7 linked regions of the Macaca fascicularis genome follow. The protein of the gene in region 3 purifies or fractionates together with the protein of the main gene of each other region. This does not show direct contact. Links are inferred from orthologs where the notes say so. Each region holds a gene or a part of one and is shown on either strand. Other genes may lie near its edges.

Region 1 (4,348 bases), on a different chromosome or scaffold from region 3:
GAAGCCCAAGGCTGAGGGGCCTGATTCTTTCAAGGGCCTTCTTGCTACCCATGTGTCACCCTATGGCAGAAGGTGGAAGAGCAACAGATCAAGAGAGCAGGCAAGCAGGAGAGGGCTGAACTAACCCACTCTCTCAGCAACCAACCCACTCTCAGGATAACAATCCAATCCCTGAGGATGGAGCCCTCATCGTCTAATCATTTCTTATGGGTCCCACCTCTTAACACGATTAAAATGGCAAATAAATTTCAACATAAGTTTTAGAGGGGACATTCAAACCATAGTAATAATGAATTCAATTTTCTATTTTTCAAGCAATGTTCTTTTGCATTATTTAGCCTTATAGAAATGGGCAATGCAAAAATTAACTCAGTGCCAGGTTGAAAATGCAGTCTACTTTTTTTTTTTTTTTAGACAGAGTCTTGCTCTGTCATCCAGGTTAGAGTGCAGTGGTGCGATCTTGGCTCACTGCAACCTCCAGCTCCAGGGCGCAAGTGATCCTCCCACTTCAGCCTCCCCAGGAGCTGGGACTACAGGAACGCACCACAATGCCTGGCTAATTTTTGTATTTTTTGTAGAGATGGCGTTTCACCACGTTGCCCAGGCTGGTCTCAAAATCATTCAATACAGCAATAATCCTAACTCAGCTTCCCCAAGTGCTGGGATTACAGGTGTGAGCCACCACGCCTAGCCTGCAGTCTTTTCCTTTTTTTTTTTTTTCTGAGACAGAGTCTTGCTCTGTTGCCCAGACTAGAGTGCAGCGGCAGGATCTCGGCTCACTGCAACCTCTGCCTCCTGGGTTCAAGCAATTCTCCTGCCTCAGCTTCCTGAGTAGCTGGGACTACAGGCAACTGACACCATGCCTGGCTAATTTTTGTATTTTTAGTAGAGATAGGGTTTCACTATGTTGGCCAGGCTGGTCTTGAACTCCTGACCTCAAGTGATCTGCCCGCCTCTGCTTCCCCAAGCACTGGAATTACAGGTGTGAGTCACCGTGCCCTGCCTGCAGTCAACTTTTCAATCACATAAATCAGATCCCACAATGGTTCTGCACAATATATTTTAACTGCATCCCATCATATTTAGAAAAAGGCACAAGTCTTTCACCATGGTCCACAAGGCCCTACATGATCTGGCCCTGCCTACCTCTCTCCTTTGCTCACTTCATCCCAAACACATGGAACTTCCTGCTCTTCGTTGAACACACCAAGCTCATTTCCGCTTAAGGGCATTTGCAGTGCTATTCCCTCCTTCTGACACTCACTTCTCCCAGATTTCTGGTTTACTCCCTCTCTTCATTCAAGTCTCAGTTCAAATGCCATCTCCTCACAGAGGACTTTCACAACCGCCCTATTTAAAACTGAAGTCCCGAGGAAAGCGGATCGCTTGAGGTCAGGAGTTAGAGACCAACCTGGCCAACATGGTGAAACCCCGTCTCTACTAAAAATACAAAAAAAATTAGCCAGGGGTGGTGGCGCAACTGTAATCCCAGTTACTCCAGAGGCTGAGGCAGGAGAATTGCTTCAATCTGGGAAGTGGAGGCTGCAGTGAGCCGAGATCGTACCACTGCACTCCAGACTGGATGACAGAGTAAGACTCTGTCTCAAAAATAATAATAATAATAATAAAATAAAACTGAAGTCCCATCCCCTATTCCTTTACTCTTATTTTCCTGTATTCTTTAACACTGCCGCTTAATAGTTATATATTGTTTATCACCTACCCACTAGAATGGGGACGTGCATGTCTTTTTCACTGTAATTTGCAATATTCACCAGCACCTAGAACAGTGCCTGGCACACAGCAGCCTCACAATAAATATATATTAAATACATGCATTTCATTCTCACCAGAGTCATTCAATTCCTATGACCTTGAGTAATTCGTTGAGCAAACACTCAAGCTCTGATCCTTAAATAAAAGCAATAAAACAAAGTTTTGTCCTTGCCATCAAGTTCTACATATCCGGAGGCCAAGAACTATATATAGCAGGTCTTCCTATGGATCTAGGGCCGGAAAACTCTAGCTCCTCCAGACAAAACTTGTAGCAACCTGAACCATGAAATGAAGGGGTAGTAAATAGTCGCAGCAGTAAAAACGTTCAAAACAAGACCACATCTAAACGCCACCATAAGGTTTTAAAGGCCAGCTCTCTACCCTCCAATAACAGGTATATACCAACGCCCCAAATTATGACTCTTTTGGGTTTTTAACCCTTTTTCTGTGCTACAGATCCTCTGTCAGTCTGGTGAAAACTAGACCTGTCTTGAGACTAGTGCTTCTAAATGCATAAAACAAACAAAAACAGCTACGAAAGAAACCCACGCTACATTACAGGACCGCAGATGTAAAAGCCCCTCTGCTCTGTTTGCCGCAGTGGAAAAAAACGAGAAAATGTGGAAGGCCATAGAAGGAACCCAGGGAACTGAACCCCGCGTCCCTGGGCGCGTCCCCAATTCACTCTCAGTGGCAGGGAGACCCGGGGTTGCGACCCAGCCAGCCCTAGGGGGCGTGTCTGAGGACGCGGAGGAAGGAGACGCGGGCCCGGGTCTGGGAGGAAGGTGGGGGAAAATTCCAAAGCGCGCGGGGCCGCGCTCCCCACGGCGTGGCCCACCCGCGCCTCACCGGTCCCAGCAGTCCCCAGCAGCCGCTCGGGCACCCCTTGTAGGTCTTCATGGAGGCCGCGGAAGATCTCGTGCAGCTTCTCGAAATGCTCCGAGGAGGCGGCGGAGGCGGCCATGGCGCAGGACGCGCTCGAGCAGCGGCCACCCAGATTCGGGGCTCTGGGCCCTCTCCTAGCCCGGCGGTCAGCCGCCCAGTCCCGTGGCCATAACGGCGACCGCCGCACCACCGCTGCCCAGGACGAGGCTCTTCCGGGGCCGCAGAAGGGTCCTCCCGAGCCGGAACGCCCACCCTCTCTAGCCCGTGATTGCGGGAGCGCCGGCGCGAAGGCCTGACGGGAAGGCAGCAGACTGCGCGGCCTAGGCGACTCCTGAGGGAGCGAGCGGGGCGAATGGTAGTCGCAGAGCCCGAGAAGTGCCCGGTCCGGGGTGGGGAAAGGCCGCAGAGAAAGGGCCCTAGGGGACCTGCGGGACGGGCAGCTCGGCCGCCTTCCTCCTGGGCCCCGCCGGCCGGCCAGGGGCGGGCGCTGCAGTGCACGCCGGGGGATGTAGTTTGACTCGGAGAGCGTCTGGTGCCGGAGTCGCGCGTTGCCCGGGGTGCCAGGTTTAGCCCGCGAGGCGACAGCGGGCTTCGGCCCGATTTGATGTGTGTTTGCGTCTAGACGTCGTCCTCACTGTCATCGCGCTTTGCTTTGCCACCCTGACCCGAATTCCGCATTTCGCGTTTTGACCGAATGTTAGCTTTAGGCCCTGGAAAGAGCCGGGCCGGGGGCTCTGCCTGCAGTCGGGAGGTGGAGCACTTTTCCTGGAAGGCCCAGCGGCTCCCCAAGCTTTCAGAAGTGGAACTCGGCCGGGCGAGTGGCTCACGTCTGTAATCCCAGTACTTTGGGAGGCCGAGGTGGGAGGATTGCTTGAACCCAGTAGTTCGAGACCAGCCTGGTCACAATAGCGAGAGCACTACCGGAAACCCAAAATAGGAGCCGGGCAAGGTGGCGCGCACTTTTGGCCCCAGCTACCCCGGAGGCTGAAGCAGGAGGATTACTTGAGTCCACAAGGTTGAGATTGCAGAGTTCCCACCACTGCACTCCAGCTTGGGAGACTTTGCTCCCAAGTGGAGGGTGACCTTGTCTCCAAACGAACCCAAAAAACAAAAATTCAAAAGTGGAACCCAGTTAGGATGACCTCGAAATACTCTAGCTGCTAGGCTGCCTCGTGCACTTGTTCACAACAGGTGTTTGTCAAGCGTAGGCATTGCGAGGGATCTGGGCATGTTGGTGAATAAAACATTTACTCTCTGCTCCGGGGGAATTTATAATCTGGTGTGGAAGGTGGGCCTGGCTTCATTAGGTCTCATCTGCCACTAAGTGTCACTTGTTAACAATTACAAGGTCCTTTCCTGCACTCCATGGGTATAAATGCCGGTCTTCAGGTTGGGCATGGTGGCTCAAGCATTATCCCAGCACTTTGGGAGGCCGACGCGGGCGGATTACTTTAAGTCAGGAGTTCGAGACCAGCCTAGCCAACACGGTGAAACCCCCATCTCTGCTAAAATCACAAAAATTAGCCGAGCGTGGTGGTGGGCGCCTGTAAATCCCAGCTACTCGGGAGGCTAAGGCAGGAGAATCACCTGAACCCGGGAGGTAGTGGTTGCAGTGAGCTGAGATCATGCCACTGCACTCCAGCCTGGGTGACAAAGCAAGATCCTATCTCAAAAAAATTAAAATAAA
Region 2 (4,295 bases), about 20 Mb from region 3:
ATTTGTGTAAGGCAGTGCAGTTATTTGAAAGATAGACACTAATTTAATTCACCTTTTCAGTTACAATCCTCTGAAAGTCTTCTAAAAGGCATTTTCCAGCGATGACGAACGTCCTCCTTTCTGAGTATTGTGTCATCGCTGCTCCATTCCCTTTCACTGCAGAGCCTCTCCTTATCTCCCTAGTGCTCCCTCTTCCATCTGATCCATCTGGCCGCTACTGCCAGAGAAATTGTGCAGCACGGATCTCCCAAGTCCGTGAGTCAATGGTTTCCAGGGCCCACTACAATCAAATGACATTTTTCTTGTTTACCCTCTTTATTCAGTCTTCTTTTCACTTGTACCCAACCTGCACCCTGTAGGTGGTCTGTGCACACTGCGTCCATTTTCACTGCTGTCTTTGTTCATGGTGTTTGTCCAACCCTTACTGGAAAGTTCTTTTCTGCTAGTACCCAGCTCAAATCCCACCGCCTTTGTGACAGTCTCGTTTATTCGAATATATACGAATGTTTCCCTTTTCGAAGTATTCTATTTAGAGTTGGAAAAAACAGCATAGTATTTAAGTACTGTATTTTTCACTTCTCATTTAAGAGACCCACCAATGACCAAACACCTATAGTGTTTTATTTTTTGATGTCGGTAACTGTGTTGGTAGGAATATTTCAGTGACAAATATATACAAGGTAACTCACTGCGTTCAGATTTGTGCTTCCCTCCCTTCGACCAAAACCTGAGGACCTATTCTGTGTTAGGGCCTAAAAATACAGAAATGAAGGAACTACAGTCTTGATGCCAAGGCTCTCGTAAGCAGATTATAATATGATCTGCAGGGACAAATATTTGTGTTACCGAGGAAAACATGAGCGGGAACCTAACCCAACCCCATGTGACAAATACCTGAAATGGACTTCCTATTTCAACTACTTTCTCAGAGAAACATGGTGCCCTCGGGATCACTAGGTTAATCTGGAACATTCAGCAGAAGCCAATCATCTGTCTCTAATACTGTTAGAGAGAAATGGTCCCGAGCCCAGAATAACATGAGTTGCGCCCACCCTCACTTATCCACACAGTCCCCAGCCAGTGCCTAATGCGCCACGTTTGCAGACCACGTCCCCAAGCGCCAGCGCGGGCCGCGGTGCAGAGAGGAAGCTGTATTGACCTGCACTCTGCGTTTCAGAGCCCGGACCGCCCTGGGACCCCTGTGGCCCTCAAGTTCCCAAGTGACCTAGTCCAGGGAGTGGACATCTCGCTCTGACCCCGCCCTGGACGAGCCCGCCACGACGCGCCCGCCCACGACGCCCCCGCCCACTTCCGGCGCGCCCCCTCTGCGCCCCGCCCACTCCCGCCGGCCCTGCCTAGTGACGTCTTTGCCCGGAGTCGCGCCGTTCCGCCCATCTCCTTGGCCTCCGGTCCCTACTTCGCTGCTCTGCTGACCCTCGCTCGCCGCCGCCGCCGCCGCCGCTGCCAAAATGTGAGTGACGCTGCGCGACGCGGGCGGCTTCGGGCCCCGCAGGCGGCAGCTCGCGCTGGGATCGCCGTACCGCCCAGTTGCCGCCGGCCGCCGCTCGGACGCAGGCCGGGGCTGCGCGGGGATCCCGAGGCCTGGGGGTGGGCGGTAGCCCTTGGGGCGCGGGCTGCAGACGGCCCGGGCGGGTTCCGCTGCCATGGGGCGGACGCGGAAGGGGCGAGGGCGGGGTGGCGAGGCGCTTCCCGGAGGAAGTGAGTTGCCCGCCCGCACCCCGCTCCTCGCCCCTTCCCGTTCTAGTCCCAGAGGTCCCGGAGAGGAACGGGGACGACTGCCCTGGTTCGGGAGGGCCGGCTCTCGGCCCAGTTGGGCCCCGGAAGTTGCAAAAGAAAGGACCTCGGCCCTGTGCTGAGCCCCTGTGGGCCCAAGAGCTCCTTGCCTGGCTAGGGGCATCTGCACTGGAAAGATCACTTAACCGTGGGCCTTCGCACTCTTAAGCGAAAGCGCTCTTGTGGCCCTTGCAAACCGGTGCTTCCAGTGGTAACGCTCAGAGAATGTTCATGGTTAAGAATCACAAGGACCCTCTCTTCCACCTCCATTCTGTTCATTGCTCACCGTCGGAGGAAGCCCCGGGTTTCTTCCAGGAGTTGGGGACCCCCCCTCGAATGTTCCTGCTGAGGCTGCTGTGTCAATAGATCACAGTGGTTAAGATCTAGATCCCAGGTACACAGGACCTGATCTAAAAACAATCTGAACGGCAGCCAGCTGTGTTGACTTTTTAAACCTCACTTTACTTATCTGTAAAATGGGAGTAATATTCCCCTCAGAGAGTTATGAGAGTTGAAGGAGAAAATGCATGAAAAGAGTCTAGCACCACGGCATGGTCCTTACTTATCTACCAGACACTAAACTCTGTGAGGACGGCGATGAGATCTGTTGTAGCCCTGGTCATTGACACATGACAGATGTAAAGTGACTGTTCAAACAGTCCATCAGACTGTTGTATACTAAGGTACATGCTAGGTGCTATCTAGGATACAGAGAAGAGAGTAAGAAGACCCAGGAACCTGTAATCTATTCGAGGAGGCAGGACTTTATACCTGAAAAACCAAAGTGATACTTTCCAAGTAATGGAGCCAATAATGACTTCAGAGTCAGAGTGGTTAAGAAGGATCTGCATGAGGAGAAATAAAGCCTTTGATGAAGATTTTAAAAGATGAGTACCTTCCCGGGGCGGGCGCGCTGGCTCATGCCTGTAATCCCAGCACTTTGGGAGGCCGAGGCAGATGGATCACCTGAGGTCAGGAGTTCAAGACCAGCTTGACCAACATGGTGAAACCCCGTCTCTACTAAAAATACAAAATTAGCCGGGCGTGGTGGTGCATGCCTGTAATCCCAGCTACTTGGGAGACTGAGGCAAGAGAATTGCTTGAACCCAGGAAGCGGAGGTTGCAGTGAGCCGAGATCACACCATTGCACTCCAGCCTCGGCAACAGGAGGGAAACTCCGTCTCTCAAAAGAGGAAAAAAAAAAAAAAAAAAGAGTACCTTCCTAAAAGGGGAAGCATTGCTTCAACACACCTTTCCACTCACACCAACCGCTCCCTGCATCCCAGTGTTCCTGACTCTGTTTCTGTAAATTAATCTATTTTTCTATATTGGAAAAAGGGCATTCTATAACTGTTTATAACTATGAAAACAGTTCCTGCCACAATGAAAAGATCAGGAGAGTACTGAGTACGTTCAAGCAGATGTGTGCCTTAGAACAAGTTTCAAAAAAGGACAGTAGAGTTTACCTGTCGTGGGATCAGATACTTCAGGGATACAAAGTAGGTCCTATTAAACCTTCACGTTTGTCCCTTTAGTAGGTGGGACAGTCTTGGAAATTATAGAGAAATTAGAAGAAATGTAATTAAAACTTTTGTTCATTGCTTCAGGAAGAATTTCTTTTTCTGCTTTAGTTCTAATGTAAGAAATTGTTAACAGTGAGAGTCCTGGAGTAACTTCTTTATACTTAAGAAAATGTATTTGGAATCATAATTTACTCATGCTCCTGCCTTTACATGTTCCAGGTCTACAGGTCCAACTGCTGCCCCTGGCAGTAATCGAAGACTTCAGCAGACACAAAATCAAGTAGATGAGGTATTGCTCTGAAATGTTGGAAATATGAATTTTAAACAAGTATGAGCACTCTGGAAATCTGTTTAGAAAAAGTATCATGAAAGTGTGAATGTAAAGCAAATTCTGACTGTATCATAATTGTAACAAAACTTTGCTCCCTGCTGTGCTGGAAGATCTAAGCAAAAGTCAGACTTTCTAGGTTTCATGCTTGTTTTCCTGTGGTAGAATCACATACCTGCTCATAACATTTAGCTCAGGAAAAATAAAAAATCATATGCTTAAAACATGAACACCACTCCCTGAGTGTATTCCCCAAGAACCACTTTATAAAATAGGATAATACAATGTTAGGATTAGGTCTTTAGATTGCTCAAGCCAAGACCAGTTCTTCTGATCAGATTTTTTATCAAAATGCTTTGTCCACTTACTAGTTATCCAGCCTGAGCAAGCCTCTCTGTAGAATTCATCTCTAATGGCTGTCCACTGACTCACACAAAGTAGATACTGTCAAACTCCATTAGCCCAGCAAATCTCTATTTGTAGAATTCTTGAGCTAGAGGACCTTCATCTTTTGTTCTGCACTGTATGTGGAGAACCACAGCAAAAGATTGAGAAATTCAGACTAGTATTTCCACATTCCTAAAAGCTGTCACTGTCCAACAGATATGTTTCGGTCTTTCTGCATTTAGCTGCCCTAAAAAACGGTTAAA
Region 3 (4,594 bases):
ACCTGTAATCCCAACACTTTGGGAGGCCAAGGCGGGTGGATCACCTGAGGTCAGGAATTCAAGACCAGCCTGACCAACATGGTGAAACCCCATCTCTACTGAAAATACAAAAATTAGCCGGGCTGTGGTGGTGCATGCCTGTAATCCCAGCTACTCGGGAGGCTGAGGCAGGAGAATTGCTTGAACTCAGGAGGCAGAAATTGCAGTGAGCCAAGACTGCGCCATTCGACTCCAGCCTGGGCAACACAGCAAGACTCCATTTCAAAAATAAAATAAAATAACCAAAACAAGAGCCCCCAGATGTCATCCATCTCTTTCTAGAGAGAGGGAAAAAAATGCTCTCAAATTCTCCAACGAAAAATAGAGATAGCCACCCTTAAAAAATCCTAAGGCTGGTGGTGATCACTTGAGCCCAGGAGTTCGAGACCAGCCTGGACAACATGGCCAAACCCCATCACTACAAAAAATATAAAAATTAGCTGGGCGTGGTGGCGCACGCCTGTAGTCCCAACTACTTGGAGGCTGAGGTAGGAGGATCTCTTGAGCCCAGGAGAAGGAGGTTGCAGTGAGCGGAGATCATGCCACTGCACTCCAACCTGTGTGACAGAGCGAAACCCTGTCTCAAAAAAAATAAAATAAAATAAAGAAAAAACCCTAAGGCCATATACAGGCTCATTCACTTGGGGTCTCCTTTCACCCAGGCAAGCAGCTTTCCGTCTTTGCATTTTCCAAAGACTGCAAAGCAGGCTGGGGTGGGGTGGAGAACACAGGAAACAGCCAGTTCCCCTTCACTTCTCACCATCTTGATCTCCTCCCAAACCAAAATCCTATGTCTTTCCTTTTAACATACGCTTACAGAAATGCAGTCTTCTGTAGGAAAATTGAGGTCATGCATTCCAAAGTATTTAAGGGTATGATTTTTAAATTTTAGGAATCTAGTTCTCCAAGAAATCCCGGCTTGGGATATAGATGAACGAGCTATTTGGGAGAGATTTCGATGAGAATGAATTTTAGAGAAGTAGCGAGGTGAGGAGAGAGTCAGCTTAGCGTTTGGCTTTTGCAGTCAAACTTCAGCAAGGCGAAGTAACCTCGCTGGTCTTAATTTTCTCATCGGTAATAGGGAAAATAATAATGCTAACATTGATGAGTTACTTTACTTCAATATTTAAAAAACCGGCTCTCCGTTATCTATTCTAATGATAAAAATGTAGATAGAGCATCGTCCCTTGCTGTGAAAAATCTTATGAACAAGTGAATTGCGGTGAGGATTCACACATAATATGTGCTTAATAAACATTATTATTTTATTGTTTAGATTAGAAGAGGGGTGGAGGGAGAAATGAAAGCGGTTTGGAAACCCCAAATACTACCAAAACCCTGGGGATGGAAGTAGAGAGGAATTTCGGGTTACGATTTGGTTCCTGGTCTGAGTTTCAACGTTGAATACTCCCATATTTGGGCCTGAATTCTCAAAACAGAATAGGATGTAAGGGCTGAGATCATCTGGTACAGTTTTATGCAAATCGAAAATTCTTGCCTCTTGTCAATGTGCCCTGGCGAGAAACAACACCTCCACCCAAGCTCATCCAATCTCAGCCCCAACTAGGTGACGTCATCTCTCCGCCCCGCAACCCCCAAGCCCCGGGCAGTCCTGTCTCTAAGATACAGTCCCAGCCCCAGTCCCAGCGGCGCCTGCGCACTTTGAACAGGGGCGGGGAGGACGCGTGCGCGCTGCGTGGGGGCGGGACTAGTGCGCACGCAGCCTTAGCTTCTTCCCCGCCCTTGGTCTTCCCAGTTTCTCCGTCAGCCTGCGGGTCCCGGCTGGCGGCTGCTTCCGGTAGGAGAGTGGTGTAGGGCGAGCAGGTCTCAGCTCCTCGTCATGTCATACGGTCCCTTAGATATGTACCGGAACCTGGGGCCCTCAGGGCCCCAGCTCCGGGACTTCAGCAGCATCATCCAGACGTGCAGCGGCAACATCCAGCGGATCAGCCAAGCCAGTGAGCCGGGGTACCGAGCTGGGGGGCGGGAGCTGTCCCCGGGACAGGCCTGGGTGAGACTGCCGGGTCGCGGAGCCCGGCTGGGACTACGGCCGAGGCCACACCTGGGGCTGTCTCGGGCTGTCCACCCTGGGGGCGGTGGGCTTGCCTCCCCCAGTCTGTCAGGCCCGGGCTGCCCGAGGGTCCCCGGCCCCAGCTGAAGCTTGAGCTGCTTCTCTGGAGTTCTGCCCCCACGGTGCTGGGACCAAAACAGCCCGAGGGTGGGAAGGGGAGTGTGTGTCATCTCGAGAGCTGTGAGTGCGTTGACTTGGCGCAGTGGTCAGCCGAGTTTCTCCTGTCATCCACCTTCCTCCCCACCCACCTCGCTTTCCTCTTAGGCCAGTTTGGATGGGGTTGTTTACTGATTTAGGCTTTAGGTTTACATTCTGCTCAGCCCCTGGCTCCTCGGAAATCAGCAACTTTCAATTAAGGGAAGTGGAGAGTGCATGTGTTTGGATGACTTCATACACAGTTCTTCCTGTAATGAATTCGGAAATCAGACACAATGACTGGTATTTGAGAGGTGGGATGACTTCTGTTTTAATAAAGATAATTCACCAGCAACATTTCAACTTACATTATTTTGTCTTTTGTAACAAAGCATTGGGGTGTATTTTTGGATTTCAGGCAGATGAGGCTTTTGTTTTCCTTCCCTACTTAGCTGCTCTTGAACAAATCTGGTACACAGGGAAGCTAAGAGACTTAGCCACAACCACAGAGCAAGTAATGCATGGTAGAGTTGTTGGTGGAATTCAGAATGGTATTGCTTGTCTTAAAACTCCCTCCTCCCCATTAGGGTCTGAGTGAAACTATAGCTGAATGAGTCAAATACAGGGTGTTTCTTGGGCTTGAAAATCATCTTGGAGCCTTATAAACAGGAGATCAGCAACAGCTTTACTTGGAAAGAATGGTGGTCATCATCCTTATTGTTTATTATTGTGTTTTGTGAGCTTGGTGTACTCTGTTAATAGGTAGAACTAGTTAGTCCTGAATTACAATTCTGTATTTTAAATAATATCACTTTGCTTTAGTTTTTAAACTTTAAAAAATTTTTCTTTTTTGTAGAGATGAAGTCTTGCTGTGTTGGCCAGGCTGGTCTCAAACCCCTGGGCACAAGCACTTCTCCCACCTCAGCCTCCCAAAGTGCTGGGATTACAGGCGTGAGCCACTGTGCCCAGCCTAATTTTTTTAATTTTAAAAAATTAAATATTTTAAATTTGTTTTTAAGAGACGGAGTCTAGCTCTGTCACCCAGGCAGAGTGCAGTGATCTGAGTGAAGTAGAACGATCCTAGCTGGCTATAACTTTGAATTCCTGATCAGCTTGCTGAGTCGCGAGGACTACAAGGATGCATCTACCATGCCAGGCTAATTTTTAAATTTTTTGTAGGGATGGGGTCTCACTATGTTGCCCAGGCTCACTTTGCTTTTAAATCTAAATGTATATTGTAGAATTTGAGAAGTTTCTGATCAAAAGCAGTTGAGACTCTGGAAGTGAAAGGAAGGGTATGTGACCTCTTAAAATCCAGAACTAAAAAAAAATAATATGACCACTGGTTAGAAAGTGTAGTACTTTTTGTACCAGTTTCCTTTTGTGAAGGAGCTGTAATACAGGTTAGATCAGAAAATTCTAGTTCAAGGCTGAAATTTTCTTGTTGAAGCTAAATCTGATTTTAATATCTATTTGCAAAATATTCATTCAACTTGTATTCAATATTATATATATCATATATAATATTATATTTAATATATAATATACACATGAAGATGGATAGATGGATACATGTTGAATGAATATTATATACATGCTGATATATATATATATATATATATAAAACCAGAATACTCCCAAATGTAGATCCGACATACATTTTTAAATTTACATTTAAATTTTTGTTTTGAGACAGGGTCTCACTCTGTCACCCAGGCTGGAGTGCAGTGGCATGATCTCAGCTCACTGCAGCCTCAACTTCCCTGGCTCAAGCAGTCCTCCTGCCTCAGCCCTACAAGTAGCTGGGACTACAGGTGTGCACCACCATGCCCGGCTAATTTTTTTTTTTTTTCTTTTGAGATGGAGTCTTGCTGTGTCGCCCAGGCTGGAGTGCAGTGGCTCAATCTCCGCTCACTGCAAGCCCCGCCTCCTGGGTTCACACCATTCTCCTGCCTCAGCCTCCTGAGTAGCTGGGACTACAGGCGCCCACCACCACGCCCGGCTAATTTTTTGTTTTTTTTTTTTTTTTTTTTTTGAGACGGAGTCTCGCTCTGTCGCCCAGGCTGGAGTGCAGTGGCCGGTTCTCAGCTCACTGCATGCTCCGCCTCCCGGGTTTATGCCATTCTCTTGCCTCAGCCTCCCAAGTAGCTGGGACTACATTCTCCTGCCTCAGCCTCCCAAGTAGCTGGGAGACGGGGTTTCACCGTGTTAGCCAAGATGGTCTCGATCTCCTGACCTCGCGATCCGCCCATCTCAGCCTCCCAAAGTGCTGGGATTACAGGCTTGAGCCACCGCGCCCGGCCAATTTTTTGTATTTTTAGTGGAGACGGGGTTTCACCGTATTAGCCA
Region 4 (4,557 bases), about 170 Mb from region 3:
AGGCATGGTGGCGGCCACCTGTAGTCCTAAAAAAAAAAAAAAAAAAAAAAAATTACCCAGGAAATACAAAAATTAGCAGGGAAATACAAAAATTAGCCAGGTGAGGTGGCACCCACCTGTAGTCCCAGCTACTCAGGAGGCTGAGGCGCAAGAATCGCTTGAACCTGGGAGGCAGAGGTTGCAGTGAGCCGAGATTGCACCACTGCACTCCAGTCTGAGCAACAGAACGAGACTCTTGTCTCAAAAAAAAAAAAAAAAAAAGAAAAAAAAGAGTATTTAATGAATTTTAAATACAGATAAATTATTTCTGATGAAAATTTAATGTCCAAATTTAAATGTGCAGTAAGTGTAAAATATGTATTAGATTTAGAAGACTTAGTGCAAAAGTAAAATATCTCATCAATCTTTGTATTAATCACACGTCGAATATTTTGAATGTACTAGAGATTACATTAGAATTAATTTCACCTGTTCCTTTTTATTTTACTGTGGCTACTAGAAAATGTAAAATGACGTACGTGGCTGGCATTATACTTCTATTGGACAGCACTGATCCAATAGATCCCAGGACAGCTGAAAGAGGAAATGAGACCAGAAGCAGGAAGAACAATTAAAAGATTCTTTGATAAGCATCCAGATAAAAGAGACAGGCTTGATTATCTAAATTCTGCCCATCTTCAAAACGTAATTCAAGATATACTTATTGCCTCCAAAAGCTTTCCTAATCCTAACAATTCCCAAGGAGATGCCTTTCTCTGAACTCCTGGGGCACTCATCATCTGCAGCATTCACTTCAACACTCATTCATTTGCCACCTGTCATTTCTACTTAATTTTGGGGTAATTTGTTTCTCAGATTAGACTAGAAGCTCCTAGGCCATAATTTAGGCATCTTTAATTTTTCCATGCTGTGTAATGCATTCTTGATACTTTTAATAAACACAGGTGCATGACTCCCAAAAAATCTGGATACACCTTCATGGGTGACTTTACCTTTCCACAGTAGAAGGTACTGAGAATCTCTTTTCCTTCAAGAACCTTAAAGACAGGAGCTAAAATGATGTAAAAGTCAATCAAAACTCCGAACCAATGTTCCAATAAAGTAGTGATATTTAATCAGTGAACAAGCATTAGACGACTGTATTGGATACCGTCAAGAAAAAAAAAATGCCACGACGGCAGAAGAATTTAGGCTTTTGACAAATTCCATAAAAAGTCAAACAAAAAATTTCTGATCATCTCTGATCTCCACTGCCAGAGATAACCTTTGCCAACCTAAGCATTAAGAACTTTCAATCAAGGAAAAAACACATTTTTAAAATTAACCCCTAATCAATTCTTCTAATAAATATCACATTTTCCAGGTAGGAAGTCACATATTACCAGTAAATCTACAACTCAGCATTTTCCCATCTAAATTAGAGTAAGGTGAAGAAAAAGACCTTTCCAGGGAAATGTTAAGAAATATTATAAGTGTATTTTACTGCATCATCGATAAAATCTTTCACCTAAAATGCCATTTAAATTTTCTACAATACTTGAGTATACAACAGCCAGCTTGTACCACTACAAAAATAGGAAGCTAGCAGCAACTCGTTAAAAGCAAGGGACATTCTGTGATCAGTACTGATTTGGGAACTTTGCAGTTTTCAGATTTTTCATGTTTGACATTTAAAACAGAAAACTGACACGTTTCTAATAAGAAACTAAAAGTTACATCAGAATTAATCTTCTTGCATTTGTTTAATGGCTACAAAGTGGATATTACAAAGTGCAGTTGAAGTTTCTATCTCCAAAGAAACAATCGAGCAAGATGGAGTTAGGACAGCTTACAAGGGAACAGAAGGCAGTTCTATTCTGAAAGGCAGAAGAAATAGGAGAAACCTGTCAAACAGCCTGGATGATATCAAGGAGTTAACAAGCAACACTCATTTCCTTTAGCACTGTGAGAAAATTCCGGTTGCTAATAGAAAGCTGAGGAAAGTTTGGTTTGGCTTGTTTCATTTTGTTTTCCTTCCAAATCATCACTGAGTATGAACGACTGCTTTCCTCTCCTCACATTACTCAGTAAAAACTCCCCCCATTGAATTGTCTTCCTGTGCCCTGCTCCCCAGCCTCCCAGATCAGCCCCCGCCCCCGCCTCCCTCCCAGCAAACGTGCTCAGACGCCTCTGGGCTTGTTGTGGTCTCGCCAGTCCTGCGGACGAGCGCTCCAAACTCAATGGACAATGGAGTTCACCCCCGTCAACACGAACTACAAAGCTCAGGAGGGCCATTTCCCTTTTCCTGCCCAGATGCTGTTTTCGCTCCTTCGAAGCAAGGTCCCATGCTCGAATAGACGGCCAGTGTGAGCTAGGACCTGCGTGTCTCCTTCTCACCTGCAGAGCTGCTGAGCCCCTCGACCCCCAAATAAGTTGTACCGCAGCGCACAGGCCAAAAAGGCCCCACCACCACCAGGGGCTTGGCTGGGGACAGTGGCTTCACCGTCCAGGTAGGGATGCAGGAGACGTCTCTGGACGCTTGGTCATGGCCCTCAAGACTAAGCCGTCTCCACTGTGACCCCTCCCCAGCTCCAACTTGCCTCCCCTCCCCCTACTGCGAGAAGACCGAGGAGGTGCGGGCAGGCAGCACCGCCACCTCTTCCTCCAGTGGAGCCCTCGGCCGACACTCACCCTTTCACCACAAAGAAGGGGTCCTCCATGGACATGGCGTCCCGGCCCCGGCCGCCTCCACCTCCACCGCGCACAGAGCGCCCGTGCCTCCCGGCCTCCTTCCGCCCACCCGGCCTGTTCCCGCAGCCGCCCGCGCCTTAGACTGGGGGACGCCAAGCAGCGGGCACGCGCGCAGGCCAGGTGCACGGGACCACCGCTGGTCCAGCACTCGCTCAGCACCACTGGCCGAATCCCGGACTCCAGAGCCGGCCCCCTCTGCAGCCTCCAGTCCCGGCTCCTCCCGGCGAGTCGGAGAGCCTGACCCCACCCCCAGGACCCTCGGCTGCGGCCAATCACGAAAGCCGCCTGAAGCACGACTTCCGTACCCCACTCACGTGATCAGGGCCTGCCCCTCCCCCAGTGGGCGGGGCCTGGGCCTGCGTCCCTCCGCCCTGGAGGCGGAGCCCTCGGGGCGGAGGAGGTGGGCGGCTTTCTACCGCCCTCTCCTCAGGCTTGAAGGTGAAGAGCGGCTTGTTCCCTCAGAGGTAGGCAGTCGGCTTTTCAGGATAAACTGTAGTTGTACCTGTTTTGCAAAATCCTCTTACCTTTCCTCTACTTTTAATACTTGATTTTGACAGTATGTAATTTATAAATCTATCTGGTCCTCGACTTAAAATGAAGCATAGTATCTGATTATGATGCTACACAGCTCCTTCAAGTAGGGTCTTACTTTGTGTTGGAGAGTGTGCTAAAAAGTTGTGTATGCATCATCTCAGTATTCTTTGGGGGAAGGTATTATTCCCCTCCTTCCCCTTTTTGGGGGGCAGGGACTCTCTCTGTCACCCAGGCTGGAGTGCAGTGGCACAATCACAGCTCACTGCACCCTCGACCTCCTGGGCTCAAGCGGTCCTCTCGCCTCAGCCTCCCGAGTAGCTGGGACTACAGGTGAGAGCCACCACGCCCAGCTGATTTTTAAATTTTTTGTAGAGATAGAGCTCTCAGTATATTGCCTAGGCTGGCCTCGAACACCTGAGCTCACAAGACCCTCCTGCCTCTGCCTCCCAAAGTGGTGGGATTACGGACGTGAGCCCCTACGCCATCCATTTCTCCCATTTTGTAGATGAGAAAATAAGTTCAGAGAGGCTTCACGACTTCCTGTAGTCACACAGCCTGGACAGAGCAGAACTGCAGATTCTGTGCACTTTCCACCAGATGGGGTGTACTTTATGTTGCTGTACATTCTGCAAATAACCATGTAAAGTAATTTTTCATACAGCATATGGTGCCTCCCAGGAGAGCGCACCTACAAGGAATAAAGAAGGGGCCAGGTATGACAACTTCCTCTCACTGTGGTTCAAGGACTATTCTAGAAAACATTTTGCCCAGAACCTTAGCCAACTCATATGCTAGATATGCTGTGGAGTTTGTGGATGAGGATTGTGGACTTTGATTGCTGAAAATCATTGAGCACTTAGTGTGTGTGTGTCAGGCAGGGTGTTAAGTGTTATCTCGGTTGCTCTTACAGTGCGATAATTACTGCCATCATGCCCATTTTATAAATGAGAAATCTGAGACTCTGGGAGGGTAAGTGACTTGCCCAAGGTCACCAGTCTGGAGATGGCACAGTCCTTGGAGCAACACAAACCCCGTTTAAACCTTGGCTCTATCGTTCAGCTCCTCATCTATAAAACATAAATAATAATAGCTAGTTCATGGGTTGTTGTGATAGTTAAATAAAAATGCGTGTAAACCTCAAGATCCCAAAGGATTAAGTTACTGAAGTCAGGAAAACCAGTAAGGACGCTGCTAAGGTCATGTGGCGTGAAGGGATGAGGGCCAGACCAGGATGACAGCGATTGAGAACAGAGAGGAAGGAGTGAATCTGACAGATGTTTCAAAAGGAAAACA
Region 5 (4,568 bases), about 120 Mb from region 3:
CCCTGCTAGCTCCCAGGGACCCCTGGTCTGCACGGAAATGCCCTGAGACATCATCCGGCCTCCTACAGATTGAGCTGGCACTGCCCAAACCACAGGTGGCAAAGGTGCTTTGTGGGGGAGGAGGGGGAGGTAGCAAATATGCGTGACTGCAGACTTGCCGGGACCAGGCCCAGGCTGAGTGTGGGCGTAGCACACCCTTTTAGCCCTTCCAGTAACCTCTGAGCTTGGGCCTCTTGGCACCTACCACACAGGCTGAGGCCAAGGGTTGGGGTATGTGCCCTAGGCACTGCCAGCAGCCAGCTGAGGTGCCTCTGCCTGAGCTGGGGCTCCCCTTTGAGCAGCAGGTCCAGCACCTGCAGGGGAGGGGCACCACCAGGTGGTGGGCACCAGGTGTCCTTCAGCTTCTCTCATGATGAGGGCAGCACTGAGGACCCCAGGGCAGCCCCCAATGCGAGCTGGCAGCTCAAGGTAGCACAGGTCGCAGCCCATTACCATCCAGGCTGCGTGCGTGGTCCTGCGCTCCTGAACTGTGTGTGAAGACCCTCGTGTTTCTGCAGTCAGGAGGCAGTGCACAGACACTCCCGAGAGCCCTGCTAGCCTCAGTCACTTTTTCTTAAAGCAAGCATTGAGAATCTCAGGCCGGGGCTGTTACAGGTGCAGCAAAGCAGCAAATGCTAGAAGCTCTGTGGGGGAGATAGAGCCCTCCGCAGGGCAACGGCTGAACTGCAGCTGGCATCGATGACTCCATACTCAAAGACCATGGACTCCTTTTGCCTACCTCCAGGTTGGCAAAACAAAACAAAAATGCTGACACCAGGGCCAGGTGGGTGGTGGGGCAGCCGCTGCGCAGAGTGTGGCTAGACAGCAGTTTGAAGTATCAGGCCGGATGCCCCTTTCCCAAGTATGCTGCCCTGGGATCCTGTCCAGGGTTGGGGAGGCATGTTGTCAGCACATGTGAGGGTCTTTGCAGAGTGAATCGCACCTCTGCAAGAAGCCTGAAAGGCTGCATCGCCCTGAGAACCAGCTGCCTGGAGTGCGAGGTGAGGAGCTGCAGATGTGTGGCAGTTAGGCCCTGCCCTTTGCGTGTCATCCCTATCAAGTGTGAGAAAGGACAGGCAGGCTGCAGCTAACTGGTGCTCCAGAGGAAAGGGGTCAGATAAACAATGCAGATGCTCGACCTAAGGCTACGTGTTTGCTGCACAAAGATGGATATACTTGCAAGTGTGGGGACAATGGCTGTGCACCCCACCATGCCTGGGTGAGGGCGTGCAGTGGCCGAGATTCCTTGGGGAGTGGGACCTGTGGGCCCCCACAGGAAGGCTGGAAAAGTCAGGCCCTGCTGTGTCTGCACAGACTCTAGCCTGGGAGGACACAGAGCAAGGGAGCATGATGGGGCCTATGGGTGCCTGCCCTGCCCTGAGCTTGCAATTGTGATTGGCTGGAATCCGTGGAGGCAGAGACAGGAGCCCCAAGTCAAGTCGTTGCTGGCTGTGGCGAAGCTAGGTTCTCTGCATCCAGAGGGCTGTGGCCTCCAGAGAAGGTGTCTCCCCCAGGGACCAAGACCATCCTCATGCTTGTGCCCTTCTGCCCACTGAGCCAGCAGAAGGGGCAACTCCTTGGCCAGCTACCCTGAAGCCCACATCCCAGGTGTAGGGCATCCCTGATAGCCACGTCCTACCCTTTGTTCATCCATGCTCCAGAGTGTCAGCCTCAGCCCTGTCCCCCATCCACCACTGTGGGTGGTTGTGGCAGGTAATGGTGCCAGCGTCCCACCCAACTGCAACTACCAGCTGCATCTTGGATCCCCAGGCAGACAGAAGGCAGGCCCTGGTTTCCAAGTCAGTGACTCCTTCCACTGGCATAGAAGGCTTCATTTCCAAGCCCTGGCTTCACAGGTTTCCCTCCCACCTGTCCAGGGAAGGGGAGAGGGGATGTGGGGTGGGGAAAGACATCATCCTCAGAGTTGCAGGGCTGATCCAGGAGACCCTGGCCTAGCCCAGGTGGTCAGTCATGTGGTCAATGCCAATGGCTACAACCTTGGGCCACTAGAGGAGCATGGACAGTCCTTTTCCCTAAGCCCTGGGCCTGAGCTTGGCCAAGGGTAGGGAGCAAGATGTCCAGTGTCCTGTGGTCTGTACCCCCAAACTCAGCAGCCCTGGAGGCAGGAACTCCAGGGACCTGGGCCTCTCTCTCCTGCCTGGGGGCTGACCCCAGAAGTCCCCTTCCACAGGCCCCAGTTACCCTCCCACTGCAGGCTCTGACCTACAGGAAAACAGCTGGAGCTGGGCTCCTACCCTGTTCCTCTGGGAGAGCCAGACCCTGTCCTGAAGCTAGAGGAAAATCCACGGGTAGAATCCTGCATAAGCACACCCCAAATAGACCCCACCTGGGGCCCCAGGCCCCAAACAGACCCTGCCTGGACCTCTGGCCCCGCCTAGGGAGCCGGAGGCCGGTGGATCCTGGCCTTCCTCTGTAGCCTGCCACCCCCTCCCCTGCAGGAAGGCACCAGAGTGTCCACCCCCGCGGCCCCACTCAGAGATGCGTGCCTGCTCCCATTGGAGGCCTTCGGCCCCAAGGCAGGGCCTGCCTGCTCCCTAGACCGGTCCCCTGGCCTCTGCCCCGTGTCGGGAATCGGGGTCTTGGATGTTACCTTCAAATCCGGCCAGCTTCCCGCCACAGCGAAGGAGAATCGGACGCCCCGTGCCAGGGACTTGCAGCAGGGACGTGGGCCAGGTCCTCACTGCCTTTGCTTCTGGGACCCTGTGAGGGCAGGAACCGGAGTCTTGCCCTCATGACTTTGGTTGGCGGCAGTGCCAGGTGGGAAGTTTCCGGTCGGGCACTGTGTGGGGGCGGGAGGGACAGGCGGGGAGGAGGCGGGATAGGGAGGGGAGGGGCGGGAGGGCAAGGTGGGGCGGGGATGGGAGGGGCAGGCAGGGCGGGCCGCGGGGGCCAGGATGACCCTGGGGCTTCCCTGGCTTCAGGTGCCTTCTGAGCAGAGCTGGGTCCGCTGCCCCCTGGTGGCAAGCACGGGCCCTGCAGCCCCAGCTAAGAAACCCAGTAACAAAACCCTTCCCTACCCTTGTGTCCCTGGGGTCCAGGTGTCTGAGGAAGGGGGGTTAGGGATTCCAAGTTTGAGGTGTAAATAAAAAAAATGACCACGGCAAGTCTCAATCATTTTAAGAGGTTTATTTTCCAAGGTTAAGGATGTGCCCAGAAAAGAATACAGAACCACAGGGAAAATTGTGGTCCATGGTTTTTCCAAGGAGAATCTGGGGACCTCAACATTTAAAGGGAAAAGGGTGGGTATTGGGGATTGAGGAAGAAATTTTGAAAAGGGTGTGAGTAAATAAGAGGCAAGTGGTTGCATCCTTTTGAGTCTTTGATCAGCGATTCAATGAATACACAATTTACATGTGGGGGGCGGGTAGAGAAATAGTCACTTACACATTTGTCTAGCTTGGTGAATCTGCATTTTTACATAAGATAAAATAAACATAGGGCAGAGGAAGCAATCAGATATGCATATATTTCAGGCAGAGGGATGACTTTGAGTTCTGTCCTTTGTTGCATACCTGTGAATATAAGCTATCAATGTACATTGTCAGGGTGAAATGAAACAACTGTTTTTGGGTAAAAATCTTGGGGCCCACAATTTGTGGGCAAATTGTGAGAGAGGTGCGATGCTTTTTTTTTTTTTAATCTTTGTAGCTATCTTATTTAGACACAAAATGGGAGGCAGGTTTATGTGACCCAGTTTCCAGATTGACTTTTCACTTTGGCTTATTTAGTTTAGGGTCTTGAGATTTACTTTCCTTTCATAGGGGCAAGAGGGCCCTGGGAAGATCAAGGCTAGCTTCCAGGTTCCACAGAATGGAGTCACTGAGGGTCAACTGTAGGATAAGAGAGTGTGGAAAGTAGATAAGTTCCTCTTCAGAGCTCGTCTTAGTTTAAAAATAAAATAATAGACACTAGAAATAATAGCTTCTTAGTCTAAAGCCCCCATCAACTATTAGTTCTTACACTTTAGCCCAGTTAGTTGCTTTGCCTTAAGCAAAGCATGTCCGGCATGTCCGGACAGGCCCTTGCAAGTCTTAGTTCATAGCTTATTCCCCTTCCTTATTTGGAAATGTTATTGCTTCTTTAAACCTTTCATAAGCAATTTTCTCTCCTTTGTTCTCCCTTGCACTTACCTATTTACGAAAGTTTCAGGTTGTTAGCAAATCAGGTTCAGTTTAAGATTGTGAGGTCCAGCTTCAGCCAATGGATGCAGGACACAGCAGAAAGATGACCCAAATGTGTAAGGGATAAATATGTCTGCTTTTCCTTTGTTCAAGTGTGCTCTCGTCATTGTTCCATCTGCAAGGAGCACCGTTACTTAGAGAAAGTAAAAATGGCCTTGCTGAGAGAATTAAGTTTATGTTCGAGTGCTATTTGTTTGTGGCACTGGGGAATAAGCATTTCTAACAGGATACTGGAATCTGAACAAGGCAGGGCATGCACCAGGAAAATAGAAAACCAGAAAGAGGTCTTGGGCAAGAGTGAAACCTCTCACACTCCTACCCACCACC
Region 6 (2,819 bases), on a different chromosome or scaffold from region 3:
TCCGCCTGCCTTGGCCTCCCAAAGTGCTGGGATTACAGGCTTGAGCCACCGCGCCTGGCCTTTGAATTAATTCTTTAAATCCTCATTTCAACCCAGAAAACTTCCCATTTTATTTATTTTTTTTGAGGCAAGTTCACTCTGACACCCAGGCTGGAATGCAGTGGTGTGATCTCAGCTCACTGCAACTACCACCTTCCAGGTTCAAGTGATTCTCCTGTCTCAGCCTCACAAGTAGCTGGGATTACAGGCGTGCACCACCACACCTGGTATTTTTTTTATTTTATGTTATTTTATGTTATGTTATGTTATTATTTTTTATTTTATTTTTTTATTTTTTGAGAGAAGGTCTTAATCTGTCACCCAGGCTGGAGAGCAGTGGTGTGATCTTGGCTCACTGCAGCCTCCGCCTCCCAGGTTCAAGTAATTCTCCTGCCTCAGCCTCCCCGAGTAGCTGGAATTACAGGCACCCGCCACCACGCCTGACTACTTTTTGTATTTTTGGTAGAGATGGGGTTTCACCATGTTGGCCAGGCTAGTCTCAAACTCTTGACCTTGTAATCCATCTGCCTCGGCCTCCCAAAGAGCTGGGATTACAGGCATGAGCCACTGCAGCCAGCCCAATTTTTGTACTTTTAGTAGAGATAGAGTTTCACCATGTTGGCCAGGCTGGTCTCAAGCTCCTGACCTCAAGTGATCTGCCCACCTCTGCCTCCCAAAGTGCTGGGATTACAAGCCTGAGCTACCGTGCCCATCCTGTTCTCTGCATTTTACAGATGAGGAATCTGAGGCACAAGGAAGTCAAATGACGGGGTCTCTGGGTCACCTTGCTAGTAAGTGGTGAGTGGGGAATGCAGGCTCTCCTGCCCCAGAGTCTGCCTCCCTGACTCACCACTGTGGGGATTTGTCCCCCATGCCCCTCTGGGAGTTGGGGTCCCTCCCCGAGCCTATGTTGTGTGCCCCTGCAGATCCTGGCAGGCAAGCCAGCTCCCCAGAAGTCACTCAGCGACCTGCTGGATGCCAGTGCAGTCTCGGCCACGTCTCGCTACATCGAAGAGCAGCAGGCCACACAGCAGGTTTTGGGGCCGGTGGGGTGGATCCAGGGAGGGGAGAGTCTTGCAGACCGATCTGAGGTCTGAGGTCCCTTTATGTTGTTGTTGTTGAGATGGAGTCTTGCTTTGTTGCCAAGGCTGGAGTGCAGTGGCGTGATCTCAGCTCGCTGCAACCTCCCAGCTTCAAGCGATTCTCCTGCCTCAGCCTCCTGAGCAGCTGGGATTACAGGCGCCCACCACAATGCCTGGCTAATTTTTATATTTTTAGGAGAGTTGGAGTTTCACCATGTTGGCCAGGCTGGTCTTGAACTCCTGGCCTCAAGTGATCCACCTGCCTCGGCCTCCCAAAGTGCTGGGATGACAGTCATGAGCCACCGCGCCTGGCCTTCTGGGGTCCTTTTCAACAGCACCTCCCACCCCTTCGCTCTGCAGCTGATCATGGACGAACAGGATCAACAGCTGGAGATGGTGTCTGGGAGCATCCAGGTTCTGAAGCACATGTCCGGCCGCGTTGGGGAAGAGCTGGACGAGCAGGGCATGTGAGGCCAGGACCCTGGGGGTGGGCCAGGGTCTCTCGGCCACCCTGGTGTGTCTGGGCCGTCTGGGGCTGATGCCATCCTGTTCTTGGCAGCATGCTGGATGCCTTCGCCCAAGAGATGGACCACACCCAGTCCCGCATGGACGGGGTCCTCAGGAAGTTGGCCAAAGTATCCCACATGACGAGTGGTGAGTCCCCTTGGGGGCGAGGTCAGTCCTAGTGGGGGCAGGTTGTAGGTGGTACCCTCTTCCCCGGTGACCTCTGATCTTCTCGTTCCCAGACCGCCGACAGTGGTGTGCCATCGCCGTGCTGGTGGGGGTGCTTCTCCTCGTTCTTATCTTACTTTTCTCTCTCTGACCCCAGCCCTCCCTGGCAGGCTGGTCCGTTAAGCCTGGGGAGCCACCAAGCACTTTGGAGCTGGCCTAGCCCCCTAGGAGGAGAGGGTTCCTCCTGGGTAGCTGGAAAGTAGAGGTTCCTGCCTGGGGAACTGTCCCCACGGCTCCCCCCCAGAGCCAGTGGTACCCTTCAGGACCCTGGGCCGAAACCACCACCACTGGTCCTGTCTCAAGTGCACTTAGGGGGTGGTAGAGGCAGCGTCACCTCAGACACACCCCTCTCCATTTCCAGTTCTGGGACCCCAAAGCCATTCGCCCCTGTGCCTTACACATGTGCCAACCTGGAAATAAAACGTCAGCCTTTTTTATACGTATTTGTGTCGTGTGGTGTGTGTTGACTGCAAAATGCATGACTGAGCCCTGATTGGGACTCCCATTCTAAGCCAGTGCTTGCACAAGTGCCCCAGTGTGTCTGTGCACGCGTGCGTGTTCCGGATTCCTTTTTTTTTTTTTTTTTTTTTGAGACAGAGTTTCACTCTTGTCACCCAGGCTGGAGTTCAGTGGTGCGATCTCTGCTAACTGCAACCTCCGCCTCTTGGTTTCCAGCAATTCTCCTGCCTCAGGCTCCCAAGTAGCTGGGATTGCAGGCATGTGCCACCACACCCAGCTAATTTTTGTATTTTTAGTAGAGATGGGGTTTCACCATGTTGGCCAGGCTGGTCTCAAACTCCCGACCTTAAGTGATTTGCCTGCCTCAGCCTCCCAAAGTGCTGGGATTACAGGCATGAGCCACCACGCCCAGGTGAATCTTTTTTTTTTAATGGCTTAGGTTCTCTTGATCTTTTTATTTTTATTTTTATTTTTGAGATGGAGTCTCGCTCTGTCACCCAGGCTGGA
Region 7 (4,405 bases), on a different chromosome or scaffold from region 3:
AGGCAGGTGGATCACTCAAGGTCAGGAGTTCGAGACCAGCCTGATCAACATGGAGAAACCCTGTTTCTACTAAAAATACAAAATTAGCCAGGCGTGGTGGCGCAGGCCTGTAATTCCAGCTACTTGGGAGGCTGAGGCAGGAGAATTGCTTGAACCCAGGAGATGGAGGTTGAGGTGAGCCAAGATCATGCCATTGCACTTCAGCCTAGGCAACAAGAGCAAAACTCTGCCTCAAAAAAAAAAAAAAAAAAAAAAAAAAAAAAAAAAAAAAAACCAAAAAACTTTAATTTTAATACTTAAGACTTTAACTGACATCCTGAAAATAACAATGTGGCAGAATAACATTACCACTTAAATTATCTCAGGCGAAGGAGAAAGTAATACTCAAAGATGTGTTTCTTGGCCAGGCACGGTGGCTCATGCCTGTAATCCCAGCACTTGGGGAGGCCGAGGTGCGTGGCGAGACCAGCCTGACCAAAAATGGTGAAACCCCATCTCTACTAAAAATACAAAAAACAATTAGCTGGGCGTGGTGGTGCGCACCTGTAATCCCAGCTATTCAGGAGGCTGAGGCAGGAGAATTGCTTGAACCTGGGAGGTGGAGGTTGCTGTTAGCCGAGATCGCGCCACTGCACTCCAGTCCAGGTGACAGAGCAAGATTCCGTCTCAAAAAACAAAACAAACAAAAAAAGATGTGTTTCTACCAAGTAGAAACCAAATGATACCAAAACATGCTGTGTGAACAGAGGTTATACAACTGTTCAAATAAAGTAGTACAATTAACTCATTACATAGCACATGGTGATAAGCAATGCAAAATTTTTAAAAAGTATTCTGTATCATTATTTATATTATTGCAGGAGGACCTATTATGTTAATTCTTGCAAGAGTTCATTGGCAGAATGTTTCATAGGAAATATAAAAAGGAAATTAATTTTTTTCCACCTTTATATCATGAGCAGATTATTAAACTAACTGGCCCACTAAATTAATGGAGGGAGGTACACAAGGTGCCTGGGAAGAGATAGGAGATCATTTTAGGAGGGATGGATGGAACGAGAAAGCATAGAGGTGAGAACAAAGTAAAGAAGGTACATAAGTTAGCCTGATAAGATGAAATGGTCCACCTTTGGTGAATGAGAAGGTTGAGGAATATGGCTGATGGCCTTACATAAAGAAGGCCTTGTATAAATCATGTCATTTAAATTTGATCAAATAGGGAGTCTTTCTATCTCAATCCAACACGTATGTACTGGCAGGTTACTATATGACAGTCAAAGTAGACACTAGAGGTATAAAGTTAAGGAAGAAGGGATTCCAATACTTGAGGGAGCCATAGAACAATGGGGAAAGACATATAAATAAACGCGATAAAGAATAATAAGTGAATAATCTCAGAATGTCCACAATTGCTCAGAAAATGTCTTAATGTTTTGTGATGATCTCACCTTGGATGAAGAACAGGAATGTAGGTGTCAGCCTATGTCTTAGGAATTTCCTCAGTATACTGTTAGGATTATTTATCCTTGGAAGAGAGCTCAAAGTGTCTATTTTACCCTATTTTCCCAGTGCTCAGCACAGTGCCTACCATCTAATATTTCCTCAAATATTTGTTGAATAAATGAGTGAACATTGAGCATATTTTGGTTTTAAATATACTATAAATGGTAGATAACTTTATATTCAGAAGGACCTGGTAAGAATAATATTTTCACAACCAAACTATCTTTCTCAGTAAGATAAAGCAGTTGAGCTAATAGTAATTCAATCCCCCACTCTTCTCTCTGGGTCTTATAAGGAATAAACCAACTATAGATAAACCATGAATTCTGATGCAACAACCTTGGAGGAGATAGAAGAATGAAGAATAAACACTGCTTAGACAGGGGAAAAGAAGAGGTGTTTATGAAAAGTCATGTTACAGATCAAGATTATTCCTGTTGGTATTACAACTATTCTTTCTGGACGATGCTCTGAGACCCAGTCCGATCCCTCTGACTTTCTTAGGATAGGATTCTACCCTTTCAAGTCAACCACCTGTTTTATTTCGCATTAACCAATATATAACATAATCCCGATTATTCCTGTTTTCCCCTCTAGACACAAACATGTAAGTTCCTGAGAGTAGCAACCTCTTAAGTCTTATTTACAGCTGTATCCCCTGCACTTAAAAGAGTGTCGAGCATATACCAGCCGTTCAATAAATATTTGTTAAATATATGAATGGATCTGCTCTCAGCCACAGGTATTCAAAGGGAATTAATATGCCAAACATGACTGTATCCTCTGGGATCAATGGAGGGAGAATGGAGATACAGGTAGTTGAAAGCAATTAATGAGGCCGAATGAAGACAGTTGATTGTTTGTGAGAGTTATGGGAGGGGGAGATGTAAAGCATTTACCAAAGTACGCGGTCAGAATTTGATAAACATTGGCCACTAATAAAAACACCAAACAGGTCTGAAGCTGAGGAAACGGGTCGGTCAGAAATACAGTTCCTGAACAGACGAAGAAGGGGACTGTCAATACTGATCAGTGGAGGAAGGGCGAATAAGGGGCTAGGAACCCACGAAGGAGCATAAACAGCCAGAAGTAGAAGGTGAAGCAGAAAGTGACGTCATGGAACAAGGACGTAGAGAGTTTTTGGAAGACTCGGGGGATCTCAAGAGATTTAAATGCTACAGAAAGGTCTTGTAGAATGCAAACTGAGAGAAAGTTAACATTTTTTCCCTCCTGTAATGAAAGCTTAAGTGACGCATTCTGACACTCTAACTCGAAGCCTTTCCAGTGGCATAAGACGCCAAAACTGGTCCTGCCCGACAACTGAAACTGTCGACACCAGAGAAGCCCAAGCCACCCTTGCACTGCCTCCTCGCTCCACCCCAGCACCTTTCCGTCTACGCCTCCGCCCTCTCCCCGCAGTTCTCTCCTCGCCTCCCGCAGAGCGCGCCCCACTCCATTTACCTGTCCGGGCACCCTCTAAGGGCGCGCGGGCTCGGGACCGAGGGGCGCGGGTCAGCGAAGTGTCGCCAACTGCCAGCTCCCAGAGCAGGCTGGGACCGGACGCCGGGACCGGACGCCGCCGACTTCCGCATGAAGCGCCCCGCCTACGCGTGGCCTCTTGGGAGTGGGAGCGCTCCTCCAATGGCAGCAGGCGACAGGGCTAGGCCTGCTGCGTTCCCAGCTGCCCGCACTTCCCAGGAGCCGTACTGCATTCTGGGAGTAGTAGTTCCGACTGGAGTATCCCTGAGTGTCTCACGTTCGTTCGACATTTCTTGTGGTAAACAGCGTCAAACGCCGTATAGGGATCCAGGAAAATGAGAGGATGCAGGCTAGATAAAGAATCTACCAGCAATGGTGGGCGGCATAAATGAAGAACCAAGCTGGCCCCGTCTCTCCTGCTTAGTCTCTGTAGGCAGCGTCGCCTGTTTCTTCACAGACAAAATAGAGTTCATCTGACAGGAGCTGCCTCTACTTTCGCCATGAAATTTTCTAATTTTCTTGTACCTCTCACCAATCCTTTCTCCTGTTCTTTTTGCACTAATAATAATAATAATAATAATAATAATAATAATAAACGACTACTCTCCTTTGATCTAAGCCAGCCCTCTTCCATCCCTATTCCCTGTTGCTGACTCAGAGTCAAGCTCCTCTGATGAACCCTGCTGTTGCATGACTCCTCGACGGCTCTCTGCTAACTGGCTCTTTACTATCAGGACTTAAAGGCTGTCAAAATTTCTCTCATCTAAAACATTCCAAAGTCACCTTTCTTAACCCCATACCCTATGCCCCCTCACCAAACACAGAAAAGCTAGTGGTCTTTCTCCTACCTCTCCTTTACAGACAAAATTCTCAACAGTGTTGCTAAAACAAATAGATAATTTTCAGCCATTACCATATTTCAACTCTGTAGGATTTTACTTTGATTATTCCTTTTTTTTTTTTTTTTTTTGAGACAGAATCTCACTCTGTTGCCCAGGCTGGAGTGCAGTGCCATGATCTTGGCTCACTGCAAGCTCTGCCTCCCGGGTTCAAGTGATTCTCCTGCCTCAGCCTCTTGAGTAGCTGGGATTACAGGCGCGTGCCACCACATGCGGCTAATTTTTTATATTTTTAGTAGAGACGGGGTTTCACCATATTGGCCAGGCTGGTCTCCAACACCTGACCTCGTGATCCACCCGCCTCAGTCTTCCAAAGTACTGGGATTACAGGCATGAGCCACCGCACAAGGCCCTTATTCCCTCCTTTTTGAACCCCTTTATTCTCTTAGCTCTTTCCAAGACACTACACCCTCCTGGTTCTCCTCCCACCTCTGTGGCAGCTCTTCATTTTCTTTTGAAATGTTCACATTCCATAGGGTTCTGCCCTACGCCATCTTCTCTTCTTACTCTTCACACTCTTCCTG

Evidence for each region.
Region 1: the proteins of STX12 (region 3) and VTI1B purify together in Homo sapiens (affinity purification with mass spectrometry; 3 studies listed by BioGRID and IntAct, counting the BioPlex papers as one, with this or other methods). This does not show direct contact. The link is inferred for Macaca fascicularis from reciprocal best matches to the Homo sapiens genes STX12 and VTI1B.
Region 2: the proteins of STX12 (region 3) and VAMP3 purify together in Homo sapiens (affinity purification with mass spectrometry; 3 studies listed by BioGRID and IntAct, counting the BioPlex papers as one, with this or other methods). This does not show direct contact. The link is inferred for Macaca fascicularis from reciprocal best matches to the Homo sapiens genes STX12 and VAMP3.
Region 4: the proteins of STX12 (region 3) and STX6 purify together in Homo sapiens (affinity purification with mass spectrometry; 4 studies listed by BioGRID and IntAct, counting the BioPlex papers as one, with this or other methods). This does not show direct contact. The link is inferred for Macaca fascicularis from reciprocal best matches to the Homo sapiens genes STX12 and STX6.
Region 5: the proteins of STX12 (region 3) and SNAP47 purify together in Homo sapiens (co-immunoprecipitation; 3 studies listed by BioGRID and IntAct, counting the BioPlex papers as one, with this or other methods). This does not show direct contact. The link is inferred for Macaca fascicularis from reciprocal best matches to the Homo sapiens genes STX12 and SNAP47.
Region 6: the proteins of STX12 (region 3) and STX10 purify together in Homo sapiens (affinity purification with mass spectrometry; 3 studies listed by BioGRID and IntAct, counting the BioPlex papers as one, with this or other methods). This does not show direct contact. The link is inferred for Macaca fascicularis from reciprocal best matches to the Homo sapiens genes STX12 and STX10.
Region 7: the proteins of STX12 (region 3) and VAMP7 purify together in Homo sapiens (affinity purification with mass spectrometry; 3 studies listed by BioGRID and IntAct, counting the BioPlex papers as one, with this or other methods). This does not show direct contact. The link is inferred for Macaca fascicularis from reciprocal best matches to the Homo sapiens genes STX12 and VAMP7.

The regions. Positions count from the first base shown.
Region 1 is NC_088381.1:135,576,797-135,581,144, forward strand, and holds the start of VTI1B (vesicle transport through interaction with t-SNAREs homolog 1B), read right to left. Parts: upstream 2,895-4,348; 5' UTR 2,741-2,894; coding exon 2,626-2,740; intron 1-2,625. UniProt on the Homo sapiens protein: V-SNARE that mediates vesicle transport pathways through interactions with t-SNAREs on the target membrane. These interactions are proposed to mediate aspects of the specificity of vesicle trafficking and to promote fusion of the lipid bilayers.
Region 2 is NC_088375.1:227,099,158-227,103,452, reverse strand, and holds the start of VAMP3 (vesicle-associated membrane protein 3), read left to right. Parts: upstream 1-1,381; 5' UTR 1,382-1,469; coding exon 1,470-1,471; intron 1,472-3,536; coding exon 3,537-3,606; intron 3,607-4,295. UniProt on the Homo sapiens protein: SNARE involved in vesicular transport from the late endosomes to the trans-Golgi network.
Region 3 is NC_088375.1:207,290,464-207,295,057, reverse strand, and holds the start of STX12 (syntaxin-12), read left to right. Parts: upstream 1-1,766; 5' UTR 1,767-1,879; coding exon 1,880-1,997; intron 1,998-4,594. UniProt on the Homo sapiens protein: SNARE promoting fusion of transport vesicles with target membranes. Together with SNARE STX6, promotes movement of vesicles from endosomes to the cell membrane, and may therefore function in the endocytic recycling pathway.
Region 4 is NC_088375.1:38,509,941-38,514,497, forward strand, and holds the start of STX6 (syntaxin-6), read right to left. Parts: upstream 2,961-4,557; 5' UTR 2,706-2,960; coding exon 2,671-2,705; intron 1-2,670. UniProt on the Homo sapiens protein: SNARE promoting movement of transport vesicles to target membranes. Targets endosomes to the trans-Golgi network, and may therefore function in retrograde trafficking.
Region 5 is NC_088375.1:85,660,878-85,665,445, reverse strand, and holds the start of SNAP47 (synaptosomal-associated protein 47), read right to left. Parts: upstream 2,816-4,568; 5' UTR 2,651-2,815; intron 1-2,650. UniProt on the Homo sapiens protein: Plays a role in intracellular membrane fusion.
Region 6 is NC_088393.1:13,550,140-13,552,958, reverse strand, and holds the end of STX10 (syntaxin-10), read left to right. Parts: intron 1-965; coding exon 966-1,073; intron 1,074-1,481; coding exon 1,482-1,588; intron 1,589-1,680; coding exon 1,681-1,775; intron 1,776-1,867; coding exon 1,868-1,944; 3' UTR 1,945-2,296; downstream 2,297-2,819. UniProt on the Homo sapiens protein: SNARE involved in vesicular transport from the late endosomes to the trans-Golgi network.
Region 7 is NC_088395.1:161,921,878-161,926,282, reverse strand, and holds the start of VAMP7 (vesicle-associated membrane protein 7), read right to left. Parts: upstream 3,096-4,405; 5' UTR 2,965-3,095; intron 1-2,964. UniProt on the Homo sapiens protein: Involved in the targeting and/or fusion of transport vesicles to their target membrane during transport of proteins from the early endosome to the lysosome. Required for heterotypic fusion of late endosomes with lysosomes and homotypic lysosomal fusion.